Linked DNA regions of Lepisosteus oculatus. The protein of the gene in region 1 purifies or fractionates together with the protein of each later gene. This does not show direct contact. Links are inferred from orthologs where the notes say so. Each region holds a gene or a part of one and is shown in the gene's direction. Other genes may lie near its edges. The genes, in order: rack1, riok3 and larp4ab.

Region 1 (7,515 bases):
CCCTGGGTTTGATTCTGGACCAGCAATCCTTTTGTGTGGAGTTTGCATGTTCCACATGTGATCCTGAGGGTTTTCTCCCATCTGCCACAGACACGTTTCACGTTGTTTAGAGAGCACGATCTCTGGCTAATGTAGGGATTTATGAATATCTAAAGACCGTGTGTTCAATTCATATCATATGTGGGAGGACACAAGTGCAATGAAATACAAATACAAACACAAAACAGCAGCAGCAAAAACAAAGTTAAATAACATACAACTTAAATACAAATCAGCACATCAGCACAAGCCGTGTGCAAAAATAACACCAGTGTGAGTCAGAGGTAGAGGCAGAATTTAGCGATCTGACAGCTAGTGGGGGCTACAAACAGCGCCACCCGGTGTTCACACTTTGTACACACAGGTGCCAGGTTGCAGATTTCTTCCTGCAGAGCCGGAGCTCAGACCCTCAGCACAGAGGCAGTGAGGACTGCAGGCCCGTCCTCAGCTGTCAAGAGGTAGAAAACGAGTTTCCTGGGCTGGGCTCTCCAGGTGAAGAACAGCATCGTCTCACCAGGAGCTTCTGGGAGAGCAATACTGCCTCTCTCCAGCCCTGCCCTTGCCGACCCAGTGAATCTGTGAACCTGATAGGCCACAGTCCCAGAACCCTGGGTCACTGGAGTCTCCACACTGTCTCCGTCCTCTCCCAGTGACCCAGCAACACCAGTGTCCAACACACTCCAGGAACTGGGAGCACTGGAGTCTCCACACTGTCTCCGTCCTCTCCCAGTGACCCAGCAACACCAGTGTCCAACACACTGCAGGAACTGGGAGCACTGGAGTCTCCACACTGTCTCTATCCTCTCACAGTGACCCAGCAACACCAGTGTCCAACACACTGCAGGAACTGGGAGCACTGGAGTCTCCACACTGTCTCTATCCTCTCACAGTGACCCAGCAACAACAGTGTCCAACACACTCCAGGAACTGGGAGCACTGGAGTCTCCACACTGTCTCTATCCTCTCACAGTGACCCAGCAACACCAGTGTCCAACACACTGCAGGAACTGGGAGCACTGGAGTCTCCACACTGTCTCCGTCCTCTCCCAGTGACCCAGCAACACCAGTGTCCAACACACTGCAGGAACTGGGAGCACTGGAGTCTCCACACTGTCTCTATCCTCTCACAGTGACCCAGCAACACCAGTGTCCAACACACTGCAGGAACTGGGAGCACTGGAGTCTCCACACTGTCTCCGTCCTCTCCCAGTGACCCAGCAACACCAGTGTCCAACACACTGCAGGAACTGGGAGCACTGGAGTCTCCACACTGTCTCCGTCCTCTCCCAGTGACCCAGCAACACCAGTGTCCAACACACTGCAGGAACTGGGAGCACTGGAGTCTCCACACTGTCTCCGTCCTCTCCCAGTGACCGCTCCTAAAGGTAAAAATGCAGTTTAAAGCTCCTTAGAGGGTACAGAGATGGTCATGGTTTGCATAACATACAAATAGGATCCGTTTGTGGTCAAAGCTATAGGCTTGTGCTGAGATGGGAACGAGCAGGTTACCGAGCGGTAAAATCTGGAAGATAGGTAGAAAAAGTGCTGTTGTGTTACCTGATTATTTCAATTTTCCTCTTGTACACTGGAGGATTGTGGTGCAGAATCAAGAAGCTGAAATGATCATGGTTTGAGTAGTCAATAATAGCTTCTTAAGACGTGACTCTCAGACGTGACTTACTTTGTCTATCTTTTCAAAACAGCTAGGATGTAATGAAGAGAACAGAATTAACAGGACCCCCCAGAAAAGTCTGATCCCAATATGGTAACTTTTCATAGAGTTTTTTTTTTTTTAAATGTCAAAATCTGGAGTCTAAAAGGCATGTATGGAGAGTGTATAACTCTGCAGAAAGAAATTGAACCCAGGGCCCCAGCCCTAAAACACGGTAATGCTAATCTGTAAACACGGTGCTACATGTCTTCTTACACGTGCTTATTTAAGGATATACAAGACATTTCAGACTAAACGGTTATTAAATAAGAAGGAAGAGAACTCTTTATAGATAGTGTAAAAGGAGCTACAAGAGAATAAAGATAATGAACATGCTGAGATACAGATGCCACAAATCTATGCAGAGGGTTGGTTTGTGGAGCGGAAAACAGGAAGCAGGAAGCTGTCTCAGCGGGCGAAACCTTCATCGAGACAGATGGTGTACCGCTGTCGCTCCTGGATTAGAGCAACACTTCAGACTGCGGTTTAGTTAGTAAAGAAGTAAAACAAGCCCTGGTCCGAGTGTGTGTGTGCGCCCTGTGATAAACTGGCGTCCTGGCCAGTCGGTACCCCATATTCTGTCCGTTGCTTGCTGGGATAGGCTCCGGTTCCCCCGTGACCCTGAACTGGATGGATAGTAAACTAGCTCAGTTTACAATTAAATCTGAAACTATGGGACGTAGAAACGCTGATGTGAAAATGAGACAGAAATCATTTATTTTGCAGAATTAAAGCACATTAAATTTAACATGTATAATTGCAAAACGAGTCATGCGTTAAGTAGAAACGTGCTCTGTACGTGTTACTATACCTATACACTGGTGGTGGTGGAGGGGAGTCCCTATTACCTGTAAAGCGCTTTGAGTGGAGTATCCAGAAAAGCGCTACATAAGTGTAAGCAATTATTATTATTATTATTATTATTATTATTATTATTATAATACCACATTCTCTAGCCATCACATGGGTTAGTCTGAGCCCTAGTGGGATACGCGTTACAGGGTTTTATATATTCGTCTATGTGCAAAAGCGAGCACCATGCTTATGTAGAAAAAGGCTTGTATTTAAAACAGATGGGAGTTATGTTCCGACTTTGCAACTCTCCAGCAGTAGTTTTCTTATTTAAAAAATGTCGTGTTCAATGTAATAATCCGAACGAGGTCCAAACAACGGAGCGAGGGCAGGGACGATAAAGGGGTATTTAATACAGACCCCAGACACAGCTTTAGCCTTTCGGGCAGAGTTCGTGCCACAGCTGGGTTTCCGTAGTGTAGTGGTTATCACGTTCGCCTCACACGCGAAAGGTCCCCGGTTCGAAACCGGGCGGGAACAGCTGCTTTTATTTTATTACCCCTATGGAATGTGAAGTAACTCTTCCTATTAAACAAGAAATACATTAATCGTGCGTGTGAAATATGAATTTGATCCGGCATCATAATTTCCGGTGTGACATAGATTTTCGGGGGAGAATAGAAGGCAACATTTGAACATCTCATCGGAAATTAACTATAAAACCAGTAGCACAAAGTGTTGGAGGGAGAGTCGAGGAGGTTTCCGTAGTGTAGTGGTTATCACGTTCGCCTAACACGCGAAAGGTCCTCGGTTCGAAACCGGGCGGAAACACTTTTTTTGTTTGTTTTGCTGAGAAGCCTTGTAGAAGGCGCTTTTAAAATTGAATTTGAACCGTATTTCGAAGCTCAGTTCGAGCTCCAGTACCTTGAATAGCAGCGAAATGTGCTCGGTAGAGTATGTTGCTCCGTTGTCAAATATATACATTTCAAATATAGGCCTGTTTTGTTTTTAATGTTTTTTTAATAGTACCGTTATAAAATGTTCTCGTTTCCCCAGAAGTATAATTGTTAAGTACCGTTGCTGAAGTGTAATGCTGTTATATACCACTTAGACGCGTCACAGCTGTGTCAATTGCATTGAATTGTACTTCACAACTTTTACGTTTTAGAAGATTGAGGATAATTCTGTAATTTATATATTTCCAAAAAGATTGAGTTTTTTTCGTTTTTTAAAGTGCCATGATAAGAAAATGGTTCAGTGTCCCGTGTTTGAAGAGGTTAAATCTGAGAACATTCATAAATATGCCTTTGAGAAAGATTTAAAAATATACTGTAATTGTTTTTTCGGAATTGTATGATAAAAAAATTCCATATATATATCAAACGTTATCACATAAAGATATTAATTGTATTAATAGTGTGATCTACTACTGATATCGAATACAACAGCACTAAGTTTCCGTAGTGTAGTGGTTATCACGTTCGCCTCACACGCGAAAGGTCCCCGGTTCGAAACCGGGCGGGAACAATTTTTTTTTTTTTAGAGAAAAATATCAAACACTCAATTAAATAATTTTCTAATTTAGTTAGAATTTAGCATTGTAATGTCCAATTTTAGGAGTTTGAAATGTTTTTAATTAAAAAAATAAAACCCACTACCTCTGCTGCACTGACTTAAATACTGACTGTTTATGTTTGAAGAGAACTACAAAACATCTTAAGATCTTTAAACGGGAAGGGTGAAACCAACACAAAAACATTTACAGCTCAAATTATTCCTAACTCGCCACAGGCGAGGACGACTGCAAGGGAAACAATCTCAGCGCCGGGCCCTGCTCCAGCTGCCCGGCAGCTCTGTATCCAGAATGCACCGCGGACCCTCGCCTGCTCTTTTTTAGTTCTGCTTCCGGGTCGAGTCTTCCTCTTTCCTGTGCCTGTAAGCGAGAGGAGCAGGGCGGCGGTAGCCTCCGATCTCAATCTGAGTCCATCCTCCCTGAAAGGCACCGTGTATCTTCGCCAAAATGACCGAGCAGATGACTGTAAGGGGGACCCTGAAGGGTCATAATGGTTGGGTCACCCAGATTGCCACTACCCCGCAGTTTCCCGATATGATTCTGTCTGCTTCCAGAGGTAACCCGGCCGCCGCCATCATTGCCTTGGCTATTCCGGTGGTCTACGTGGTAGCGTGATTTACAGCATAAAACGTGTTATAATGCGTGAACATGAGAGTAGATTGAGGAAAGTGCTTAAATTATTTTCACGTGCCGTTTAGTAAATACAAGATCGTTTTTTTAAAGCAATGCAACATTAAAACGTGACGCCTGGACCCGAGAGAAGGTACGAGTGTCAGAGGGGGCAGACACGTGTGTTTCAGAAAGTCGTGAGGCACAGGCTGGGATCTTTTGTTTCTGCTGATGAAGGACAGAGTTGTGCAAGCGGTTCACTTCGCGCTTGTAGGCCGGCTGCGCTGTAGGGCAGCATCTCGCAGATCTTGGCGTTGGACCGAAAGGCCGCCGTGGCGCCGGGCGCGTTTCCCGGTCTGGTCAGTGGCGCTGAGGCGCTTTTTGTCCGGCTCGACGTGTGAAGTGCGTCAGACGAGTGGTCGGTAGCGGAGCCGTGTAGTTCTCGGTAGACAGTAACGTGCTTCCTTAGCGAGATGATCGCTGGGCTGTTGATGTTCTGCTAGGCCGGGAGGAAAAAGAAGTTGGGAGGCGCAATTTAAGCTTGGATCTGATTTGAAGCGGGATATGCGTTGCTTAGAGTTGGGTTCGGTCCTTAGAAATAACACTTTCTGTTAAGGCACTGGTGTTCATTTTGAAGAAATGTTAGTTCAGCGTGTGGACAACACTCAGTGCAGTTTGTACACTGCTGGGCATCCGTTCCACATGTCCTGCTTCTGCAGAGGCGCATGATGGGAGGTGAAGCTTGAGCAGTAGTCAGTAGTAGATGAGGGATGAAAAGATTAATTTTAAACCAGTGCAGTGCCTAGTGGGCAACAGGGCCTTCTCTCTTCCCTCCCCTGAGTACCTGTTTGATTGTGCTTGGGCCTCCAGACAAGTCCATCATCATGTGGAAGCTCACCCGCGATGAGACCAACTACGGCATCCCCCAGAGAGCCCTGCGTGGCCACTCGCACTTCGTCAGCGACGTGGTCATCTCCTCCGACGGCCAGTTCGCTCTGTCGGGATCCTGGGACGGCACCCTGCGCCTCTGGGACCTGACAACGTGAGTGAGCGCGGACGCAGAGAGGGCTAGGTTGGTGGGGTGGCTCTTTCACGCCCTTCCCTGCAATTATCTCCACACGCTCAATGACTGGCTGTGTTTGTCCCCATTAAGCCAGTGGTCCCTAGTCCTAGTGACCCACACACCTGTGGGTTTCCATCCTATCCCGCCTTCATTAGTTAATTCATTCCTTACACTTATATAGCGCTTTTCCTGGCAGACACTCCAGTCAAAGTGCTTTACAGATAATGGAGAATCCCACGGCTGCCACCAATGTGTACCTGAATGATGCAGCGCCAGTACTCTTGCTACACACCAGCTCTCAGTGGGGAGGAGAGCAGAGTGAAGCCAGTTCAAAGATGGGGATTTTTAGGAAGACATGAATTGTAAAGGCTAAGGGGGAGGGTGGCCAGGGCACTAGATAATTTAAGCCTTAATTGACCTAAGAAGTTCCTTTGTTTGAATATTTGCATTTTGTTTTTCCATCATGAGTTTGGGACTTTATTTCACTTGCGAAATAATAACGGTTAAAGCTCCAACACGTTTAAGACCTGGGAATAAACGGTTCAAATTAATCTTATTATAAAGTCAACAAAGGGTTTGATTGTGTCACTGGCTGGAATGGAAACCAGCATATATTGCACATCAGCTGTAAACAGGAAAACCGTCTGTAAACTGAGAATTTGCGTGTGTCTGCAGAGGCACGACTACCCGTCGCTTCGTGGGGCACACCAAGGACGTCCTGAGTGTGGCCTTCTCCGCCGACAACCGGCAGATCGTGTCCGGGTCGCGCGACAAGACCATCAAGCTGTGGAACACCCTGGGAGTCTGCAAGTACACCATCCAGGTCAGGAGGCTCGACGTGACCCGCTGGAGCGCTCTCACTCGGCCAGCATGTGCGCTCGCCTTCGCCACCTGCCCCGTCACTGTGTGCAGGGAGGCGAAAGCGCAGGGAGTTTCCACACGTGTCCCAGTGATTACACATCTCACGGTCCTATCGTCCGAGCCTTGTGGCCGTGACGACAAGTCCTGCAATTATGACGGGACGTTGTGGAAATCGGAAACGGGCTTCAGGCTTTAGCGTTTCTCAACTCGAAAGCTGCTCTGCATTGTTTTGTGGGGACTGTTCCTATAAAATGGCGAGGCCTTGATGTTTGTTAGCCTTAACGCAGTGGAATTCACAGTCGTGAAGGAGAAGTTCAAGTGGGTAGCTGTGTCCGCGTGCGTAGGCTGCAGAAGAACAAGTAAAGGTTTATTCCAGGCTGAAAAAGAAAAGGGACTTGACGTTTCGACTGTGGCGCCTTCTGCAGGTCAGAGGGCTCCACGGCGGAAGTGTTGTCCATTTTCTTTTCAGCCTGGGATAAAGCTTGACTTGCTCCAATGAAGGCGGAGGGCAGCAGAAGAGCAGTAGTGGGTATTGAGGTTGACTGACCCCTTGCATTTTGATGCTCTGTGTTGTAGGATGAAAGCCACACTGAATGGGTCTCCTGCGTGCGCTTCTCCCCTAACAGCAGTAACCCCATCATCGTCTCCTGTGGCTGGGACAAGATGGTCAAGGTACTCGTCGACCAGCTGGAAACAGCCTTCTAGACTAGGACCCTACATCTGATCCGGGGAAACTGCAGGCTATTGGAGTGATTGCAGTCTATAGGCGACACGTCTACCGTGTTGGATGGCTAATGGCTCTTCAAGGGAACTTGTCCCAAACTCCCATAGTCCTCTATGCAAAATGTGCCTCTTAAATATAGTTTC
Region 2 (7,737 bases), on another chromosome or scaffold:
TCTTTTAAATTATTTCAAGACGGAAGCAATAGGTAAAACAAAACAATAGTCTCTCACCTTGTTTGTGAAGCACGACACCAAGTAGAAAAGGCAAAAGCTAAGACCGAGTGCAATGCTCTTCCACATTTGCCAAGATAAAACTATTGCTTCAGTCCAGCGATGTCTGTCATCCTGTTTCTACCAAATCTTTTTCGCCTGAGTACCTCGCAGCCATGTCTGACACGTTGCTCAGAGATTGCTCCAATCCAACACCAGCTACTCCTGAAGGAACTGACCCCTTAAAGAGACAGGCACCCCTCTCACACGGAGCACCAAAATGCTGTAACACATACAATCAAAGTCAATCAAAGTTTATTTATCAAATGCACAACAATACAACTTGCAGCAGTAGTTGCTGGCAATGAATTGTCTTTACAGCAGGTAAAGACATACAGCAGGTTAATTGGGCTCACACAACTATTGAAATACTAGAAAGCACAGTACGACATGATAGGGTTGATTAAATGATAAAATTGAATTTGAATTCCAAATTAAAATCTAAGCTTAATTGAGTGTTGAAGAAAAGTGATTGGACATTTTCTGTTTTCCAAGACCACATAGGTGAAGAGTTTGTATTGTATCTGATATCTCTGTCACTTAGCTGAACCCACAGCTAAAAGGAAGAAAATTATGTTGAAGAAAATCATCATTTCACAAATATGACACATTATAAATTTTTACCATGGATGATGTGTAGCCGTGTGAATAGCAGAAAATCTGCATTGGCTTTCATAGATTTAACCTAAAGCATTGCGTGCTCAGTTCTAAAATGATTTGTTAAGAATTAAGAAGTCCTTTATACAAACAGAAAAGTACTGGTGCAATTAAGGCATTTTTCTGACTCAAGGGGAATTGTCAAAAAAAGTTTCCCAAGAATACAGACAAAGCCCCAGTGACAAATCTGACAACAAGGCTTCGTCAGATTCATCACCCCCACATCATTTTACATTGAGTAGCCTTTGTCAGATGCATGTCACAGGAGGAACTATAGATAACTTTGAGGAGACAGTGGAACACACTGGGTTGTTGGTCATCAGCACTTTCTTTAAATTGAGATTACTCTTGAGAAGATCAAAGTCCATTTCTGCTATGAAATTGCTTGACAGATCCAAGAGTTCTAAATCCTCCATGTGACTTATAAAGACCTCAGCTGGCCAGAGGTGTATTTTACAGCAGCAAATCTTTAACTCCTGCACGTTCTGCAGCCCCAGAAGCATGGGCATCTTCGAGAAGTCATTTCTGTCCAAATACAAGTATTCCAGTGCAGTGTTATTCTGAAAAACATCTCTCGGCAGCCAAAATATAGAGTTGCCTGACAGGTCTAGCACTGTGAGTTGGTATAAACCTGTCAAGAATCCATCCGGAAGCTTCGATAAAGAATTATTGGACAGAGTGAGCTTTGTGAGATGAGACAGATTAATGAAGGGAAATGGTGGCAATGATGAAATGCTATTCCCTGACAGATACAGAAACCTTAGGTTCCTTAAACCTCTTAGGGCTGGCAATACAGACTGAGTAAATCTATTGTTATTGAGGATCAGATCAGACAGGTTATGTTGGTGGTATAATAACCTAGTAGGTAAATGTGTCAGGGCATTATTGGACAAATCCAGTATCTGAAGTTTGGGTGTTGGATCAAATAATTGTGATGGTATAGTTGTTAATCTGTTACCAGATAGAATCAGTGTGTTTAAACGTGCAAGACCTTCAAATATATTGTTGTGTAGCAGCATGGAGTTGTCTGAAAGATCAAGGTAAGTGAGGCTTTGTAGTTTTGCAAAGGTTCCATCGGGGAGGGTCTTCAGCTGATTTTTTGCCAGGTTTATCCAGACCATTTTAAACGGTGCTTGAAGAAAACCAATGGGTATCGACTGGAGGTCATTTTCAGACACATCTAAGGAGAGGAGGTTGATGAGACTCTCCAAAGTATCATTCTCAGGGCAGATCTTATTCCTGGATAAGCCTAGAAAGGTCAGGGCTGTCAGGTTTCTGAAAGCCCCCTTCAGGATGCTGGTTAACTGATTGTCAGACAGGAACAGAGTCTCTGTTTGGGGTGCAATGTCCCAGGGAAGGTTCCTGAGGCCAGCTCTGCTGCAGTCGGTCACAGCGGGGGAACAGACGCAGCCCGCAGGGCACCCTTCTGCCGCCACTCCCATCCACAGCGAGATAAGGAGTAGAATCAGGGTGGCCATCTTCCTTCCACTCTGAAGAAGGAAAACCACAACAACAACAACAACAACAAAAAACAAACAGTTACCCACTGGTGCAAGCAAAACCAAAATAAAATCCCCTTTATTTAAATATAAATGATGTCTTCAACTCATTGAACTTCAACTTCAACTGCACCACATCCTTTAATATTCTGGGTAAAAAACTCTGATTACAGATGTAACGTATCAGTTCGTGAGCCTTTGAATTCTGCAGCAAGAGCAACTTCTCTTCCATCTAATTTCCCTATTCAGTCACATTCCTTAGGTCACATTCCTTAGGGCGGAGCGGTGGCTCTGTGGCTCAGGATCTGCGTCTGTGACCGGAAGGTTGCCGGTTCAAATCCCGCGGCCGGCAGAGGAATCCTACTCCGTTGGGCCCCTGAGCAAGGCCCTTAACCCCAACTGCTCCAGGGGCGCCGTACAATGGCTGACCCTGCGCTCTGACCCCAAGCTTCTCTCCCTGTCTCTGTGTCTGTGTCTCCCTGGAGAAAAAGCTGGGGTATGCGAAAAGACGCATTCCTAATGCAAGAAATTGTATAGGGCTAATAAAGAAACATTATTATCATTATCATTTATGTGGGCATTAGCATGTCCCCTATTAATGATCAAATTTGCAGAGAGAATATGCTGTAGATTACAGGCCAATCTCCATTACAGGACTTAAATGATAAAATTGAATACACCGCATACAGAAAATAAACTGGTAGAAAGCCCTGACTGGGATATAGTTCGGGGAGGTACTTTTTCTTCTTCTAAAAATGTAGGACACTAGCTGCTCTGTGCTGAAGTTGTACATGCGGTACTTGCAACACCAAACAGCTCAACGTGTAGATTGCTCATGGCCCTCTCTTCTTTAGGTGAACTCAGGGTGTGAGCACCTGTTCACATGTTGTGAAAACAGCGCTTTTAAGGGATATTTGACTGTATGAAAAAGTTCTGGTATTGGATCTTACTGGTATGTCCACACCTACAGTATGATCCCCTGACAACTCCTACTCACTGACATCTCCCAGACAGGTAAGATGTCTTTTGCTGGTGCATTGTTGCAGCCAAAAAAAAAAAATGTTTGGTTGGGAGAAGACTGGGATTCCATTAAAAATGGTCTCTGCCTGGACAAAAGCTTATCTTAAATGATAAATTCTGTTAAAATAGTATACTATCTCTTTACGTTTCTTTCGTTTCAGTTTGTATTTGTGTTGTACATTATGTTTTAGAAATATGATAAAAATGTATTTAAAACAGGTAACAAAATATATATTTTTTGTGTTTCTAAAAAACTATATAATCACTGCAATTAGAGCCAGACTGGAATGCTGTAAGCTTTAAGAGCAAAGTTAATGGGATCTATTATGATATCATAAAACATCTCATCATTAACAAGTGAACTGCTCTCAGGGGAACACTAGCTAAATGCAAACTGATGCAATCATAGGAACTGAAATACAAGATACACTGAGTAATGTACTCTCAGTAATACACTCTAGAAAACAGTTTTTTTATATTTTCAAAGTGTGCATCACATTAAATACACATATTCTGTATCTTCAGTAAAACAGGTAATTAAAGGTTGAAAAATAAGTAAATGTACCTCACCTAAAAGCAGTGAGAATTTTTTGAACAATCCCAAGCCAAATCATAGCCAATACAGCTGATAACTTAATAATCATACTAAATCGACCCCTCTAGAAGCGGACATTGCAATTTATTTACGCAGATATTAATAGCTGTTCGTTAGGACTGGAAGCTGCACTAAATAGCCATAGCTTATACTACACACTCCTTGAGCAGAATCAGTAGTGGTTGGGCCAGTCTGACAGTCTTAGTATTTAAGATACAGTATTTACGGCTACCCTGACACTTTTTACAGGAAGATGAAACTCAGAATACTCACATTTTAAACAGTTTTTAAACTTTCTTCCCTTGCCAAAAAGCTCTAAGGGACTGCCACATCAATACTGTCCCGTTTCAAATAAAGTAAACTGCATTCTTGGTAGGTCCAGAAGTCTGTTTGCCTGTGGCAATACACGGTTGCACAATCCTTTAAAAAATAAACAGAATAACAGACGTTCAGAAAACAGATCACACGCTGCTTAAGAAACTGAATTGGAAGCGGATAACTTGTGTCAAAACACTGTGGCCCTCGTATTTCAATTCTGATGGCAATACAGCGCACACATTTTAAATGTTTTAGATTTGATACTCAAATATCCTTCGCTTATTGGGCGTTTGTAAGAAATCACTAGCGAACCCCAGCTAAATCGTGAAGAGATGCACGATCAAGATGACTTCTTGCTCAAAGAAAAGGGTCGCCTACCTACACACTGCAAGTAGGAAGGCTTTAGGGAAAGTGTCTTTGTGAGAGGATAATAAAAAAACGAGCTGCGTCTTTAAGAGAGTGTCCCTGCAGTATCAGCTGGTGCCGAGCGCCTCTGCACAGGCGAGGCAGTTCAGCCATTTAGCTCCGCCGTATCGGTGGTACTCGAACACTTCTGCTTATTTGCCAATTTTGGCAGGTCATCTCTATTTTTATTATAATTTTCTACCACGTGTCGTGGTATATATTTTTGTACAGCGACCACCGTTTAGTCGAAGTCAAGAATTATATTTTTTATAATACCTTGTTTTTCTTTCTGGTGACGCGAACTCGGTTCACAGAGCTGCTGTTTGGTGTTCAACTTGCCCAGACTTGTCATTGACTCGTGTTTACTACAGTACTGGGCATATTTATTAACTATTTATTTATCCGAGAACAAACTGCGCACTTCGCTGGTTGGGGAAAAATGGATCAAATAGGAGTAGCTGCCAAAGAAAACGAGACTGATTCCGTGTGGAAACCCAAGGTCAGTATTTTTTAAAATTATTTTATTCAGCATACAAGTCTGAATTGCGGGGCCTAGCCTAGTGCAGAAGACGAGCCACTGACGTCAGCGCTGTTAGGAGTTTCACACTATACCGGCTTCTGTTAATATTCTTGCTTGACACTAAAATGTCATTAGAAAATGTTATCGATATATAATGATAAAAACTACTACAGAAATTATCCCTCCCGGAATATACATGTCCAGTCCTATATAAGAAACACACGCGAGATCTGGTCGTTAAAAACCGAACTCCGTTCAGCTTAATTCCTTCAAGGACCTGAGGCTTCATACAGATTTTTTTTATTTCTATTTTTCTATTTACAAATTGTGTCCCTAGTCGGGAAACATGAGAGAATCGGGAAAGCAGCGGAGTGGCCCAGCGACTAGTTTCGATGACGTCATAGTGGAGCAGGGTGATGTAATGTAAGCCCTTCAGAGCAGATCCGCTGTCTCTTCACTTAAATTCACAAAACTGCCTGCGAGTTATATTACTGGTGTAACCCTTGCAATGCCTTAAACTGTAAAACGCTGCTTGTGTAATGTTATAGACTTTCGTAAGTGTCCATATTGCTCAATACTTATTTTCCCCAGAAAAGATATCTTAACATGATTCTTTTATTTTAAAACGTAGCACCAACATTTGCACAAGAACGTTCAAACCTCAGTCTTCTTAATCATATTTCTGAGTAACTATTTCATTCGTAAAAGCTAAATACTTCTTATTGTATAAAATGCTTCTCTTTTTTTAAAACAAGCTATAAGGTGTAGAAAACCTGTGTACTTGGCTACTATTCTAATTGAGCGCCCCACTGTGTAAGGCAAGTCGTCTTATTTTTGTATCCTTATTAGCATTGGTGAATCGCCCCCTGTTTCTGCTGTGCATGCCTGTTTCTCATGCTGATAACACCATAATAGAACAGATCTCCAATGAAGTGCTGCTTCCCTAACCTTCCTCCAGATGGCGCTGTACCACTCAGCTGCCAGCCAGTGCAGTTTTGGGAAGGAAGAAGTAAGGACTTTCCAGAAAGCAAAATGTTCAGAATCAGATCTCGTGTATCAGGCTCCGAGTGTGCTTAAATACGACTTGATAAATCTACTTCAAAAATTTTCTGTAATGATTGATTAATTAATGAGCAAGAAGTTACCAAAAACTGTTCTGTGATGAAATTAGCGGTGAACTGTTGACTGAGGACCTTTGCCTTCGGGAATGACTCACCGGTCTCTTGCAGGAAAGTACACTGTCTCCACAGAGATAAAAGCCAGTAATGACAGTGTAATGAGCACAGGCCTTCTGTAACTCTATAGACTAATGTCCGAGACCGACACGTTTGCAAACAATAAGTCATACAGAATTTCCCTTCTGGGTGTAGCTGGCAGGGACATTGGTATATAAGTACCTGCATGAATAGTTTCTTGCTGCGCGACTATGAGTCATTACATAAACGTGATTCGAGTGGGATGTTTCGGATAGGAAAATTCTAAAATGGCAGCCTGGTATGAGATCTCCAATCCCTGTTTTTCATGATTATTATCCTAAAAAAATGTAGATACCGCCTTTTAAAGTACCTTCTCAAAGCGCTTTACAGTAAGAAAAAAAAGAACACTGATATGAGATAAAAAGTTAGTACATTTAAAAACAAGGGTTTTGAGTCTGGTTGAAGATGCAAAGGGACAGACGGGGGCAGACGCAGACATCAGTTGAGTAAAAAGCCTTTCCGGAGAAGGGTTGGGTCTGGATTTGACTCTCTGATATCCTGGGGGAGAGAGTCCCAGAGCTCTGGGGTGCAGCAGGAGAAGGCCCTGTCACCCATGGTGTGAAGATGAGCTTGGGGAACAGAGGGGAGACCAGAGTCGGACAAAGACTGTGAGGTGGGGAGTAGACAGATAATGAGTCAGACAGGTACTGAGGTGCCAAGCCATGCAGAGCATTATAGGTGAGCATGAGGACTTTAAAGTCGGCGCAGAACCTAACAGGAAGCCAGTGCGGGGACTCCAGGATAGGAGTAATGTGATCCCTTGCAGCGGAACTGGTCAGGCGTCTGGCTGCTGAATTGTGGGCATGCCGGAGATTGTTCAGACTGGGCTTGGGTACTCCAGCGAGTAGGGCACTGCGGTAATCAACGCAAGAGAAGACAAATACATTGACAAGCTTTTCAGCAACAGTCAAGAGACAACAAAATACGGAGCGTGCAGATATTTCCGAGATGGAAGAATGATGTTTTTACAGTTCCTCCATTTCATTCTTTTTCTCCCCTCAGAGCCCATGGGGAGCCCCTAACAGTGTGGTAAATCCCTGCTCCCTGGCTGATGTGATGAGCGAGCAGCTGGCGATACAGCTCAATGAGGAGTTCTCGACCTACCCCAGCTGCCCGGAGTGAGTCCACCGAACAAGATCGATCAGATTCCTTCTCATGTTCTGTTCTTCCTACTGAAAGGGAGGATTTCTTTTCTTCCCACTTGTGTTTTGAAGCCGTGAGCAATGTCATGCTAGGCAGGTGTAGTGGGATGGAAATGCGATTAAATAAGCAGCCTTAATTGGAGATCCTGCATCAGACAAGATAGTGGCCTGGACTGTATGTTCAAAAACTCTTTTAAAATCCACTTATGAACCACTGCTCAGACCAAAC
Region 3 (7,371 bases), on another chromosome or scaffold:
ATCTGTTTACCTATGGTGTATTTTGTACACAGAAAGACAGTATTTATAGTACAAAGCTCTGAGGTTTACCTTGTTTAGTTTACTTGGTCCACTTTGAATCAGTCCTGTTCAACATGAATGAAAGCATTGCATTCCCCGTACTGTCATTTTTGTTCTGGGACAGACAAGATAAAATGTATTTAGTGGTAAAGTTTTGAATAAACAGAGCGGTGTTGTCCTTAGTGTTCTTCGCCCGCTTTGAGTTGCGCTTGCTCGGCATGAATGAACACGATGTGTCACTACTTTTGTGCAGGGAGAAACAGGATGCCATTCAATTTCATCAAACTGCGAGTGGAAAGCGAAACATTCTTTAAAAAAATTCTCTGGCGACGTGCACTTAGCCACTGGAAAAGAAGCAGCAACAAGAGAAAGCATTTTGACAGTCAGCCGTGTGACCAGCGAGTGACATCTTGCAAGGGTGTCCTATTACCCTTTCTATAATGGTGCCCCTCGAATCTTTGCTGCACTACGTCACAGAACTGCGGACTTAAACGAAGGGCTTAGGACTTAGTGCGGCATCTGGACAGAACTTGAATGACATTGGCCATTGAAAAGAGATTTTACCCTAACAGAATATTTTCTCAGGGGTCGGAGGATTTGAAGTGCATACCCATCTTTTCTCTCTGACTCGCCCTCTATCCCTCTGACTGATTCACATTCTCCTTCTCTCTCCTTCCTCCTCCAGCTGTGATCGAGGTGATGAGCGTGAAGATCCAGCAGCTCCAGACCCTCCAGGCCTCGCAGTCCGGCACCACCAAGGCCTGAGCAGACTGGGGGTGGTGGTGTGAGGGTGCAGGGGCGGGGCGAGGAGGAGAAGGGGGGGGGGGGAGGAAGTCATGAGGGCAAAGCGGAGCCTGAGCTATGGGGGGTAAGAATGATATCCAGCGAGGGAAGGGGGGGAGCTTGATTTGGGTACCCCACCTTTGTCCCAGGACACGGCGGGGATGGGAGAGAGGGGAGGGCCAGGCCCAACGCCTGTGATAACACTGGAAGATGCCAACGCAGCATTGGTCCCTGGAGATCTCGAACCTCGAGCCGCGATGCAGGATGTGGGCTGGGCATCTGGACGCTCTCCTGCACAGTGGCCATCAAGAGCGACAAGTGGTGGGATTTCTGCTTCAGAAAGATAACCAGCTGTCAGACCATTCACTCTTGCGTTCCTTCTTAATGAGTGAATGTTTTACATCTGTCAACAATTGTTATGACGTTCTCCTGGTTTCAGATGTTGTTTTAGTTTGGGTATATTTTCTTACAGGTCCCCAACAGAGAGGCGCAGTTTTATACTGTTTGCCTTTGTGAAGTCAAGCTAACTTTAAATTAATTGCTTTCTTGTCTGTGGATTTATGTAAAGCAAGTTTTTTTTTATTGTCTTCTATGCTGCTGCCCCTTGAAACAATAAAGAAGGCTCTGATAATACCTTTGCAATATTATTTTATCTCATCCATCCATTTTCTAACCACTTCCGGTTCAGGGTCATTGGGGAGCAGAGGCCTGTCTTGGCAAGCAAATGGTGCAAGGCAGGACACGCTCTGGAAGAGACACCAGTCCATCTGAGGGCACACACAGACACACACACCAGGGCCAGTTTCCCACAAGCCTAACAGTATGTCTTTGGACTGTGGGAAGAAACCCATGCAAACATTGGGATACATGTAAACTCCTCACAGATAGCACTCCAGGTCCAGAATTGAACCCAAAGCCTAGCACTGCAAGGCAGTAATGCTAACCACTGCACCATCGTGCTGCCCTTGTTCTATCTCATTCTTCTCTTATTGTCTATCCAACTTAAATCCATCTCAACAGCCAAAGCCTGGAAAGATGCTGTTATGGGATCTTAATGACGCAATTAAGAACACAGAGTGACACGAGCATGCAGGTCTTCATTCCCTTGTGTGTCTATTTTCTGAGGATAAAGAACAATCCTTTTATTAAATTATTACTTTTCTATCTTGCAGCTAATACTGAAATAAAGCCTCAATGAGCTCTGTGTCTATGGGAATGTTTTCTCCCATGATTCCGTAACTGCACTTGTGCTAGATTTTATTCCACATCCTCTCCAGTGGGATGACACAGGTGTTTGAATGGGCCAGCTAACCTTGTGCATGTACATGTTCCAGTAAGACCGTGCTGGCATGTTGTATTTATCCTGGGGCTCCCCAGTCCCTGGCCTGATACCCCACTCTCTGCTGGGTTTCATTCCAGTCAGGCTCTCAGTTGTTTAATACTTCTTTCACTGAGAGATTGACTTCTGCTTCTACAGAGCACTTTTTAAAGTTCTTTTCAACTCTAGGTAAAATTAAAAGCTCTGGCAGTTACTGAGTTGAGAACATGTCTAGTAAATTGCTCATCCAGTCCTGTGATAAGTGAAGACCTTAAAACAAGCAGAAGGTGGGGTCAGCAGGACCTGGATTATGGAGTCCTGCTCTTAATGTCCATCTAATGATTTCCTGAAATCCCTTCGTGTTTGAGTAAATATGTGGAATCACTGGTTCAGTGTTTAGGCATTTTCTAAGATGTTTGATTTCCAATTCTTGGCGCAACACCTGGAACAGTTTAGATTTGTGGCTGGGGCTCTGGATAAACTGTGAGGTTATGGGTTTTAGTCCTCTCTCTGGATACCACTATTTTACCCTTCATCAAGCCCCGATCCTGGGAGATCACTGTCTCCTCTGGCCGAGTGCTTAATTTCAGTTTTCTATTTAAAATGTGCTTTCAGCTCTTAATAATTTGGAGCGGTATCTGTAAGTGGTATTGGTCCTGTACCTCTTCAGGTGGCTGGACTGGAACCATCTGGACCTCTGCTGGCTAAGGGTGTGTGAGCTGCAGGAGCCTTCTTTGGGTGTAAGAAAGATAGGGCAGTCAGCAAAGATAATATAGCATGAGAAAACAAAAGCCAGGAGAGAGGAGGAAGTGGGAAGTTGTATCTTGTAGTTGTATTACTTTTCCGTGGGAAGGTGGAGCAATGATTAGCATTGTTGCCTCACACAGCTGGGGCCCTGGGTTCAATCCTCAGTTTGTATGTTCTCTCAGGTTTCCTCTGGATGGTGGAAATGGCTGGTAGTCAGTCATGACTTACATGAACTGTTGAATCTCTAGATTTCATGAAAATAACAGCATGACTCTCAAGGTTGTCATGTTTCCCCACAGTGAATGCCTAGACAAAAAATATTTACAACACCTTTCTTCCCTCGTGTCTTGCGGGTAGGGGCTCCCCTCATACTTTTATCCCTGAGGACAGGGGGGTTGTGGGAATGTGAGCCCAGAATCACAACTAAAAAATTGGCCTATTTGTATGATACTCAGCTGGCAGCCTTGCTGTACATATTTAGATAAAGCGTAGTGACTCCCTGGCTTGAGCAGTGTTTGGGAAAGTGCTGGGGAAAGTAATCCAGCCCTCATTTTCTAGCCATGTCATCCAGTTTAGGGTCGGGGGGGGGGGGGAGCCGGAGCCTATACCAGCAAGCAATGGTTGCAAGGCAGGGTATACCCTGGACAGGACGCCACACAGACACACCAGGGCCAGTTTTCCCAGAAGCCAATTAGCCTACTAGCATGTCTTTGGACTGTGGGAGGAAACCAGAGCACCTGGAGTTCTCTTTAAATCACCAACTTCTCAATAACAAGAACATTCTTCAACTTGTCCAATTAATCGATTAATAAGTTAAATTTAATAATTAAGGACTTGGGTGGCAGGGCAACCAGACCCTCCAGTCCTCTGGGACTGGAACTATGCTCTCCTGGTTTAAGGATTATATAACAGTAGTTTTGTTTAAAGTACTTTATCATTAATTTTTACTGCAACTTTCACTTTCCTATTTTATTGTGAAGGCCAGGAAAAAGTGGTCAGTTTTGGAATTAAATTTGATGTGAGCGTAACAGTGATGTTCAGTCCTGGTTCTAGAGGGCTGTAGTCCATGAGGTTTAATGAGAAACGTACAGCTTACTCAATGAGTAAAAACCTGGAAACAGGCTTGATACAGACTAGTTAAGGGAACAAATTATTAAAATCCAGTCATTAAGAGTCAGGGAAGAAAAAAACCCGGGAGAAATGGCGGACCTGCAGAAGAAGAAGCGAAAATCAGTGATCTTATGTTTGGCTTATGTCAGCGCTCCTCTGTTGCCATGCGCTGTTGCTATGCGGAAAGGAGTTGAGATGGTTGCTATGCGGCGCAATGAATGTTGCGCCGTTGCTAGGAGCTGCGATGGGGAAGGGAAAGGGAGGGAAGAGAGGGTGAGAGGTCGCGCTGCTTGCCGGGACGTTGGCGGTGTGCTGTCAGACAGTGGCGCTCCGGAGAGGTGCGTGTCCCCAGTGCCCGCTTCGGTTGTCCGGCTAGGAATGCGCTCTCCGGCTCGCTGATCGCTAGTAAATTAAAAAGATACTCATCGCAAAGCTACAGATTATCGTAAAAGCATCTTAGCTGGTTGCGGTATCTATTTTGTCTTATTTTTTTAATCGTAAAGCGAAAGGGGTTGTACAAAACGCATCGCTGATCTAGAAAGAGAAAGCGCTTGTTGCTTTTTCATCACCCGGTGAGAGGTGAGGAGGAGGAGGAGAGAGGGGGGAGAAGGAGAGAGAGCGGCGGGGTTAGCGGAGCGCCAGGAGCGGCCCATGAGTTCGGAGCAGGGCGGAGACCCGCAGAAGCAGCAGGAGGCCGAGCCGGGACCGGAGACCCGCCGAGGGGAGAGCGAGAGCAGACCCGAGGCCGGCGGAGACGGAGGCGGCATGGTGAGTTTGGGGCCTGTGGCTGGCTGACTTAGCACAACCTCCACCCCCCCCCCTCCTCCTCCTCCTCCTCCTCCTCCATGCCACAGCTCCGTAAAACCCGGTGTGATCCGCGATTTTTCAGAACCGCAGTTTCTAAAGATAGAAGCCAATTAACTGTGTTAGTAGCAAATACTGTTTTTCTAGTTCGGTTTTTCCCTTATCCGGCAGAGCGAGGCTTTATTTCCATTGTCCTTGTTCTTGATGTCTTTGACTTATGTTCGGCAATGAATTCCGGTCTTTTGAATGATGTGCTGCAGTTGCGTGTAGATCTGATCCGAGATAGGGCATGATGGTGTCGTTTATTTACAATCGTCGATCAGACAGGAGAATTTATAGATGTGTTGCGTATATTTATATAAAAAAAAGCCCCAGTCGAAGGGGCTTCTGCAATATTTAACCCCCTGCGCATGTGAATGGATGACACCGGCAGTGTCGAGTGACAGCATGCTTGCTAGCCGACTAGCTTCCCAACTATTTTAGGTATTTACTTTAAGGATATTGCTGCTCTGACACAACTCTCGTTATTTTCCTCGTGGTTTGCAGTGAACATACTATCCTTTTGGTGTTGTTTTCAGTTCTTAGGTTTTAAAAATAAAGCTTCTCGTCCGTCCCGGCGGTGTCCATATGGCGCCGCAGGCGGGGCCTAGCTGGCTCGGAGGACGCCTCGGCCCATCTTAGCCCTCGCACACGCCGCATTCGTCCGCCTCGCTCCCAATGAGACAACATAGGAAAACACCCTCCCGCGCTGCCCACACGCGTGGAACGGAGGCCAAAATGCCTGCATGTGAAGACCTGAGGGGACTCAAACGGTCGTTTTGTCGAATTTTGCTTCTGTTAACTCGAGCGAAGGAGCCATATGTGTGCGGGGACGGCGTGATTGCAGACCGGGGCAGGGGGAGGAGGAGTGGGGTGTTGTGGGGGGTGATAAAATTAGTTCCTCTGGCAGCGTTGCCGGGCTGTCTGAGTCGCTCAGGAGTGTGCCGATAAAAGCGACAGGGCAGCTGTGGCACAGCTCGTGAGAGGGACAGTTCTGGCATTAGATAAGCCACCTCCCCATTCATTAGGGTCAAACACGTCTAAGGACTAACCTGACCTGCGTCAGGCCTGCCCCTTGCCTAGGCCTCTGTCTGTAGGTCAAAATAATCAGGCTGTGCTTTTAAAAGGGGAAGTTCTCTTTTCTTAAACGACTGTAATTTACCGAAATTTACAAACATGCATGAGGTATTTGAATTATTACTGAATACTGACAGCATTTCCGTAGGTGGAATCCTCCATTTAAAGAAATAACGTGCTGACTGAACAGTCCTGTTTGCCAGCTGTGAAGTGACTCAGTGCCAGGGAACCCGTGGAAGGATGGGCCTGTAGAGCAGGTTTAGGTGTGAGTGGTGATCACTGGGGCAGTTGATGGTAAAAGGCTCCTACAGCAGGCAGACTGTCACTAGCACAAGGGTCTCAGACTCCGTTCCTGCTGTGCTTCGTCTCCTGGTTTTTGTTCCAACCTGACTAGTCAATTCAACAATTAAATAATTATTTTCCAAATGAGATAGAAGTTTTCTTAAGGGCTCTTACATTCGATTACTCTCGCTCGTCTTCCGTCTACTGTCCCTCCTCTCATCTGTAGTGGTTTAAAATGACCAGGTGCAGTTTGACTAAACCATCGAGTCTGGTCAGCGATATTGTGTTCGATGCAGTAATATTCCCGTCTGCTGCTGTACTTTGCCAGTGCAGCAGGTTATATAGCTCATCGTTAATTGATCAGTCTGTAAAGACAAGGAACAGTTAGTATTGTTATCCGTTCAATGGGCGATTTGTTCAATGAAGTATTGAAGATAACTTGAAATACAAATCTGAATACGCCTCAATCTTGGATGATGGGCTCTCTTGAATACATTGCTTGGCGTAATTGCTAAGTAACTTCCAAGCACTTCTTATTTTTTAAAAACACAGGTGATTTGGGGTGACCTTTAAGACTAACTGGACTGCTGCATGTCCAAGAGAAGTGGTGGGGACCCCTGGCTGTACGTCAGCCAGTTCTTACCAGTTAGAAGTTGTCGGAAACTCGGAGAGCAACTATTTAAAAGCAGAGTGAAACAGGTATTGTATCTGGTACATGTGTTTGAAGTAATGTGCACAAGGAAGAAGACTTCTGAAGCAAACATCAAAGTGCAGAACACAGTTAGAATCATGTAAATGGACTTGAGTAAGCCTTTCTGCTCTCCCACTTTGAAGATTCCCGACTCCGTGTTCTAATGCAGACTGAAGACACACTAGTCCTTTCCCAGTCAGTGTTCTTACTTTGCTCCCCTATTCCTGGCAGTTCTGGGGTCTCTGCTTCTCACACATCTCTCTCCATTTATATCTATGCTCTTTAAGCCTTCCAGTGTGCGCTTGTCTGAGTGTACCCAGTTACGGAATTGCATTTAAATGGTTTCTTGTCATTGTTTTTTTGAGGATTCTGTAAATAAAACAGGGCTTCTGACTGGGCTTTCATGAAACTTGAGAGAAAGACAGGCCCATCTTTACATTCAGCTTTGATCTGCTGTATCAGGATTGAACCAGAGAATGCT

Evidence for each region.
Region 2: the proteins of rack1 (region 1) and riok3 purify together in Homo sapiens (affinity purification with mass spectrometry; 3 studies listed by BioGRID and IntAct, counting the BioPlex papers as one, with this or other methods). This does not show direct contact. The link is inferred for Lepisosteus oculatus from reciprocal best matches to the Homo sapiens genes RACK1 and RIOK3.
Region 3: the proteins of rack1 (region 1) and larp4ab purify together in Homo sapiens (affinity purification with mass spectrometry; 3 studies listed by BioGRID and IntAct, counting the BioPlex papers as one, with this or other methods). This does not show direct contact. The link is inferred for Lepisosteus oculatus from reciprocal best matches to the Homo sapiens genes RACK1 and LARP4.

Annotation. Positions count from the first base shown.
Region 1 is NC_090706.1:29,977,885-29,985,399, forward strand, and holds the start of rack1 (small ribosomal subunit protein RACK1), read left to right. Parts: upstream 1-4,453; 5' UTR 4,454-4,562; coding exon 4,563-4,671; intron 4,672-5,594; coding exon 5,595-5,766; intron 5,767-6,462; coding exon 6,463-6,610; intron 6,611-7,224; coding exon 7,225-7,320; intron 7,321-7,515. UniProt on the Homo sapiens protein: Scaffolding protein involved in the recruitment, assembly and/or regulation of a variety of signaling molecules. Interacts with a wide variety of proteins and plays a role in many cellular processes.
Region 2 is NC_090701.1:57,816,166-57,823,902, forward strand, and holds the start of riok3 (serine/threonine-protein kinase RIO3), read left to right. Parts: upstream 1-4,685; 5' UTR 4,686-5,029; coding exon 5,030-5,089; intron 5,090-6,058; exon of another isoform or gene 6,059-6,117; intron 6,118-7,368; coding exon 7,369-7,484; intron 7,485-7,737. Other genes in the region: UDP-N-acetylglucosamine transporter TMEM241 homolog, read right to left, coding at 58-126; leucine-rich repeat-containing protein 15-like, read right to left, coding at 1,002-2,231.
Region 3 is NC_090696.1:20,590,374-20,597,744, reverse strand, and holds the start of larp4ab (la-related protein 4), read left to right. Parts: upstream 1-4,296; 5' UTR 4,297-4,648; coding exon 4,649-4,765; intron 4,766-7,371. Other genes in the region: pfdn5 (prefoldin subunit 5), read left to right, coding at 725-804. UniProt on the Homo sapiens protein: RNA binding protein that binds to the poly-A tract of mRNA molecules. Associates with the 40S ribosomal subunit and with polysomes. Plays a role in the regulation of mRNA translation.